Macaca fascicularis: one gene and its partner. The protein of the gene in region 2 purifies or fractionates together with the protein of the main gene of each other region. This does not show direct contact. Links are inferred from orthologs where the notes say so. Each region holds a gene or a part of one and is shown on either strand. Other genes may lie near its edges. The genes, in order: CAPNS1 and CAPN1.

Region 1 (3,907 bases), on a different chromosome or scaffold from region 2:
TGCTGGGATTACAGGCTTGAGCCACCGTGCTCTGCCGATATCATTTAATTTTGATAGGGGGCCTAGTGGTATGGAGCAACCCATGATCACATTTTACAGATGAGAAAATTGCTGCTCAGGAATATCAAGTCACTGTTTTGGGGTTGTGCAGTTATTACAGGGCATAGCCAGGATTCAACTCAAGCCTAGCCAGCCTCCAGGGTAGGGACTAAGAGCCAACCAGCCTGCCTGGGGGCCATATTTAGCTGCCCCTGAGGAGTCCTGAAAAAGTACTGGACACCTGTGGCTCACGCCTGTAATCCCAGCACTTTGGCAGGCCGAGGCGGGTGGATCACCTAAGATCAGGAGTTTGAGACTAGCCTGGTCAACATGGCGAAACCCCGTCTCTACCAAAAATACAAAAATTAGCTGGGCGTGGTGGTGCACGCCTGTAATCCTAGCTACTCGGGAGGTTGAGGCAGGAGAATCGCTTGAACCTGGGAGGCGGAGACTGCAGTGAGCCAAGATGGCGCCATTGCACTCCAGCCTGGGCAACAGAGCAAGATGCTGTCTCAAAAAAAAAAAAAAAGAAAAGAAAGAAAAAAACCAGGCTATGTAAAAACAATATTGTTAAAAATTAAATTAAATCAAAAAAAGGCCGGTAGCCCATACCTGTATTCCCAGTACCTCCCAGTACTTTGGGAAGCTGAGGCAGGAGGATGGCTTGAGGGCAGAGATGGCTTGAGGCCCGGAGTTCAAGAGCAGCCTGAGCAACATGGCTAGACCTCCGTCTCTATTACGTAAAAACAACAATATTTTTTAAGTAAATAAAGAAACCCGGCCGCCGCCAAAGGAATCTTCCTGTGTCTGGGGCCTTCTTTAGACACTAGCATACTGAGGACACCCTTTGGGCCAGTCCAGGAAGGAATGATTCATGTGGCCCCTGACTGGGGCGGGACGTGGTAAGGTTCGCCTGGGAGGCGGCGCCTGCGCTGCCTGCGGTTTGACTGCCATCCGGGCTGCTGCAGGCACTGGGAAAGGCACTCCAGCCTCAGTCCTCGCCACAGACACGGGCGATTGTCCTCCTGCGTGTGAGCCAAAGCATACTACAGGCCTCCAGGAGGTGTTTGTCGCGACAACACCTGGAAAGGGCCCGTGCGGAGTCCCTTAGTGAGCGGACCGAAAACTGCCACCCTGGAAGGATATTGGCAGGCCCTAGGGGCTGTCACACTACGACACTGGGGGGGTGTGGGTCTCCTCCGAGTTCTCATCACCCGGCGCCTGCACCCAGACCTGAGGGGTGTCGGGAAGACCCCAGCCTACCGAGTCAGGGCGGGGTTAAGACCTCCGGCGCTGGAAACGTGTAGGGCGGGGCCCAAATCCGGGTCCCGCTAGCAGGGCGATGTGGGGTGCGCATGCGCAATGTCCGCTTCGGCTCTAGGACCGCGCGGGAGACAGCCGGGCCGCGGTGCAGTGTCAGACCCGAGAGTTGCGGCCTGAGTCACCGGCCCCGCCCTCAGGAGCCGGACGCTGCGGGAGGCCCGGGAGCGGCAGCGGAACGGACTCCCAGACCTTTGGACGCGTGAGGTGGTAAGCGCCCAGCCCGTACCCCCTCCGCACCCCGCAATTCCGGCTTTGGCGGCCCCCAGACCTGGCGAACCGTGAAGTCTCGGCCTCAGGAGCCCCCCAGATCCATGGTCTCAGATTCGAACCCTCAGACCTGTTCGACACCCTTTCATGCCGTCCCGGGGACGTCCCCTACTTCTCCACCCTCTGTCTCATGATCCAAAATACAGGCCCATAGGTTTCAGAGATACCCTGTGAATTCTTCCTTGGGGTGTCTTGAACCACGATCGTAGATCTGTGCCCCCAGTTCCAGCGAGGGACCCCATTATCCGGGAACCCAGGGCTCACAGCCACGATCTTAGACCCGAGCCCACAAAGCCAGAGGTGACACTGGAATCCTGCCGCTGGGAATACCTGAATTCTCAAGCCCACATTTAGGATTTCCTAAACCCCGCCCTGGGGCCCTTTAGGCGGTGGATGTTTGCTCCGCGCCCATGACCCGCCAAGGACCTTTACATTCAGTCTGGGCTCTGGATCTCACATTCTAGCGCCCAGACACGTCGGGCACGCCTTACGCCAACTTGGGGTCCCCACCAAGAGAACCCCCACCAGACCTACACCCTCCCGTTAACGCGTGCACCCAGTCCAGGCTCCCTCAAGCCCACGGGTGCCTTTTAGACCCGAGGAGGTTGCAAACCTTGCGAGGACAACCCGCCCTCGCAAACTCAGACCCCCATCCGGAGGCCTCAGATCCCTTCTCCCGTGTCCAGCTGCCGGAAATGCGTGTTTGAGGGGAGGGTGTGGGCTCAGGGGCGAAGCACCCACTGGTCCCCTTTTTTCCCCCCAGCAGTGAGTCGCAGCCATGTTCCTGGTTAACTCGTTCTTGAAGGGCGGCGGCGGCGGCGGCGGGGCAGGCGGGGGCCTGGGTGGGGGCCTGGGGAATGTGCTTGGAGGCCTGATCAGCGGGGCCGGGGGCGGCGGCGGCGGTGGTGGAGGCGGCGGCGGAGGCGGCGGTGGCGGTGGAACTGCCATGCGCATCCTAGGCGGAGTCATCAGCGCCATCAGGTAAGGCGGCGACTATCGGAGGGGCGGGGCCTGGAAGTGTGAATGGGAGGTGCCTCAGGGGGCGTGGTCCGGGAGGGGCGTGGTCTAACAATAATAGGATTAACCTGGAGGCTAACCTGGGTACCTGAATTAGGCCGGGGTGGCCTAGTTTGAGAGTCCTGTTATAAGGGGGTGGACCCCAATGAGGCGGATATCAGTCCTTGGGAGCGGGGCTTGATACGGGAGTAGTCTGATTGTGTGGGACCAGGACAATGTGGTCCTGAGGGGACCGATGTGGAGTTTTGGAGGGTGGGGCTTATGGGTCTGGGCCCGGCCTGCATTGGCTAACCTGGAGATGAACGTTAAAGGGGCGGAGCCAATGCGTCTGAGTGACATTTTACGGTCGGGGCTTGACTTATGAGTGTGGTCAGAGGTTTTAGGTGGGTTAATGAGGAGGTGAGCCCAGGAGAAAGCAAGACCTAATGGGATAGAGGAAATAGCCCAGAATGGGCTGGGCTTGCTGGGAACTGGCGGGATTAATGGAGAAAAATGCCCTGGTAGGGGTAGGGCAGGTTGGCCTAATTAGTCATGGCCACTGAGCAGTGATCCCTTGAAGGGACGGGGACCAATGGCTGGGGTAGGATGTTGGGAAGACAGGTGTTTAGGAAGGGGGCCATGGAGTAGAGTCTTGGGCAGATGGCACCTAAGGAGGATAAGACCTTGGGAAGCTGGGGCAGAGCCTCTATGAAGTGAGCCCTCCAAGGGGCGGGGGTTTTTGATTCTGTGTGGGATTTTTAGGTTGAGGGTGGCCGAGATGACTGGAATCTGCCACTGGGTAGGTGTGCCTGGCAGGAGTGGAGCCTCCCAGGGGACGGATCTCTGGGTCTCCTGAAGGGTGGGGTTGGCCTGAGGAAGGGAGAAGAGGGGCACGACCAGGGCCATGTGGATTGGGACAGATGAGGACAAGAACAGATGAAGGGCACAGCAACCAAGTAAGGAAGATAGCGGCTGACATCTGGAGCGTTGGGGCTGATGGTTCTGTAGTACTGCCCGTTGGAGGCCCCGCCCCCGACACTAACCCCTCCCCCTTATCTCTTCGCAGCGAGGCGGCTGCGCAATACAACCCGGAGCCCCCGGTAAGCCCACTCTGCAACCAGACCCCCTTCTCCTGCCAAGGCCTCTTCGAGGTCCCATTCCTGTTCCTGTAGAGAAGTCCCACCTTCCTCCCCTTCTTGTGAAATTCCTCTGCCAGTTCCTCCCGTGCCATGTCCGCAGCTTCGCCATGGGTCTTAGCCATGCCCCACATACGCGCACCCAT
Region 2 (3,108 bases):
TCAGCCTGGCTCTCACCCTCTGTCCCCACCCCAGTCCATCTTCCGGAAGTTTGACCTGGACAAGTCGGGCAGCATGAGTGCCTATGAGATGCGGATGGCCATCGAGTCGGCAGGTGAGACCCCAAGGCTGATGGCACCTGTGGGGCCTGGGACCGGTAGCCCCACTGCTCCTATGCCCCAGGCCCTTGTCCCCATGGTGCTGGTGGTGACGTGGTAACAGCCATCTTGTCCTTTTCCCCGCAGTTACTGAGCGAAGTGCGTTACTGGGTTCCCTTCCTTCCTTCCTCTCTGCAGCCTAACGAGGCTAGTGTCTTTTACCATCCCCACTGTGCACATGACAAAAGAGAAGCTCAGAGAAGGAAAGTGACTGACTTCAGGCCTCACAGCCAGCAGGGGCAGAGCCAGGCTGCAGAGCCTCCAGTGAGGGAGATGCAGGGCTCACTCACCCCAGCCCGCTTAAGCACAAGGCCAGGGCATTCAGCACAAACTAAGCTGGACCCCTGAGCCCTCACTGGCCCACTCCTGATTCCCTGGCATGACCTGGGCCCAGAGACCGGCACTCACTTGCCCAGCCCCTCATAGCTACTGGCTCTGCCCAGGAGGCCTTCATGCCCCTTCTGGAGAAGAAAAGGCGCCAAGCACCCTGCCTAGCTCCAGCCCCCTCCTAGGGACTCAACCCCTTCCCCATCCTGTTGGGCAGGGGCTGCGCCTCCCTGACCTTCACTCACTCTCCTGGACCAGGCTTCAAGCTCAACAAAAAGCTTTATGAGCTCATCATCACCCGCTACTCAGAGCCCGACCTGGCGGTCGACTTTGACAATTTCGTGTGCTGCCTGGTGCGGCTAGAGACCATGTTCCGTGAGTGTCCAGCTCTGTCCCAAACGCGTCACCAAGGAGCTGGGGGGAATGACAGATGGGTGAATTAGCAGATACAGGCCAGTGCTGTGGATGTGTGCCAGAGAGGCCTGGTTCTGGGTTTGGGGGGCCCTGGCTGAGTGCCAGGAGAGTTGGGGAGGGAGGGAGTTGATGGCAGCTTCTCAGGCAGCTGGAAGGGGTGAAGCTTCCCAGGTTCAAGGGGTGTCAGCTTGGGGTACTGTGGGGAGGTAGAGAGGGACCAGGCAGGAAGGGGGCTAGGCCTGGCCCTGCGTGAATGTCCCACTGAGTTTTCAGCCCTGTATCACCTTTTCTTGAACACACAGGATTTTTCAAGACTCTGGACACAGATCTGGATGGAGTTGTGACGTTTGACTTGTTTAAGGTGGGAACCTCCCCGGGCCCATGGTGGGGGAAGAGGTCCAGGCGATCGAGTTTTCTTATCTGGCCAGTGTTCCCTGTCCTTTCCTGGAAATGAGCCTGAGCCCCAGAGGCAACCCTGAAGTCCAGGCCCCCTGAGTCCTGAAAGGCTGGGGTGGGGGTGTCTGGATTCTGGGAAAGGAGCAGGAGGGGAGACCCAGGCCTTTGGAGGCCTCTATGGGAGCAGCACTCTGGTTTCCTGGGGGTGGAGGAGGTAAGAAAGTAGCCCCTTCATGAGGTCCCTGAGGTGGCTCCTGAGCCGTGGAGTTGGGGGCTGGACCTGGGGTTTGGGTGGGGAAGAAGCCAGGCGGCCATTTCTGCGGCCCCGGCTGACCTGCCTGCTCTCCCGCAGTGGTTGCAGCTGACCATGTTTGCATGAGGCAGGGACTCGGTCCCCCTTGCCGTGCTCCCCTCCCTCCTCGTCTGCCAAGCCATGCCTCCTGCCACACAACACCAGGCCACGCCAGCTGCAAGTGCCTTCCTTGGAGCAGAGAGGCAGCCTCGTCCTCCTGTCCCCTCTCCTCCCAGCCACCATCGTTCATCTGCTCTGGGCAGAGCTGTGTGGCCCCTGCCTGCGCCAGCTATGGGCTCGGGATGGACTCCCTGGGCCCCTTCCATTGCCAAGCCAGGAAGGCAGCTTTCGCTTGTTCCTGCCTCGGGACAGCCCCAGGTTTCCCCAGCATCCTGATGTGTCCCCTCTCCTTACTTCAGAGGCCACCCACTCAGCAGCACCGGCCGGGCCTTGCCTGCAGACTGTAAACTGTAACCACTAGCTCTACACGGTCTGCAGTCCAGGCATGTGGAGCCGCCTCCTAGCTCGGGGAGGCCCCGGGGCTGGGAACGCCTGTGCCTTCCTGTGCCAAAGCCAGTGCCCCCTCTGTCCCTCCCTGGCCCTGTTGCCGACCAGGAGCTGCCCAATCTGTGGGCGGTCGGCCTTCCCTCCTTCGCTCCTTTTTTATATTAGTGATTTTAAAGGGGACTCTTCAGGGACTTGTGTACTGGTTATGGGGGTGCCAGAGGCACTAAGCTTGGAGTGGGGAGGTCCCATGTTCCATATAGAGGAACCCCAAATAATAAAGGAAAAGGCCCCACATCTGTCTGTGACTTGTTTCTCCCCAGTCTACTGCCTGGAGGGCACCTGCAGGCCCCGGCCCATGGGGGCAGCTCGTGGCCTCAGCTCACCCCTCCCCTCCAACCCTTCCATCTCTTTCCCCTTGACCTGAAGCCTGAACCCCTACTGGAGTACTGGGTATCTGGGCCAGGCTACCCCTGGCCCTGGGAGGTTGGGAAGGAGGGGCCCCAGCTGCAGGGACAGGGCCACACAGCTGAGGTCCCACATGACTCTGCTGATCCTACATGCCCTCCCCGCCGCCCAGGAGGCCTGACCCCTACCTTTCTTGCACACTTCAGCCCATTGAGGTGAGGCTCTGGCTGAAACTCAAACCTCTACTTAGCACACACCCAGTCCCCCAGGGAGCTCCCCGGAGCGCGGAGCCGCCTTCAGGTCCTTCTGTGGGGAGCCCCTGTGACCCAGACACCTGCACTTATATAAGCCCCTCCAGGCCCTTCCGGGATCCGAGATTTTTCTTACCAGAGATAAGAGTGGCTTGGGGGAAGGAAGAGGGGATGGGGCGAAGCCGCAAATGCGGAGCAGAGGCCGAGTTGGGGGAGGGTGGGGGTGGGCTGCTGTCAGCTACTGTGGGCCCCAGTGTCGGGGCAGAGATGGCGGTGGAGGCTCCTGTGCGCCCCATGGGGCAGGCTGCCCGCACGCTGCTGTCTTGAGCTTGCATTTTGCCCTTGTCACCTCCTCACTGG

The links.
Region 1: the proteins of CAPN1 (region 2) and CAPNS1 purify together in Homo sapiens (co-immunoprecipitation; 4 studies listed by BioGRID and IntAct, counting the BioPlex papers as one, with this or other methods). This does not show direct contact. The link is inferred for Macaca fascicularis from reciprocal best matches to the Homo sapiens genes CAPN1 and CAPNS1.

The regions. Positions count from the first base shown.
Region 1 is NC_088393.1:43,385,661-43,389,567, forward strand, and holds the start of CAPNS1 (calpain small subunit 1), read left to right. Parts: upstream 1-1,477; 5' UTR 1,478-1,569; intron 1,570-2,392; exon of another isoform or gene 2,393-2,395; 5' UTR 2,396-2,407; coding exon 2,408-2,610; intron 2,611-3,691; coding exon 3,692-3,725; intron 3,726-3,907. UniProt on the Homo sapiens protein: Regulatory subunit of the calcium-regulated non-lysosomal thiol-protease which catalyzes limited proteolysis of substrates involved in cytoskeletal remodeling and signal transduction. Essential for embryonic development.
Region 2 is NC_088388.1:9,154,944-9,158,051, reverse strand, and holds the end of CAPN1 (calpain-1 catalytic subunit), read left to right. Parts: intron 1-34; coding exon 35-113; intron 114-741; coding exon 742-858; intron 859-1,199; coding exon 1,200-1,258; intron 1,259-1,645; coding exon 1,646-1,672; 3' UTR 1,673-2,384; downstream 2,385-3,108. UniProt on the Homo sapiens protein: Calcium-regulated non-lysosomal thiol-protease which catalyzes limited proteolysis of substrates involved in cytoskeletal remodeling and signal transduction. Proteolytically cleaves CTBP1 at 'Asn-375', 'Gly-387' and 'His-409'.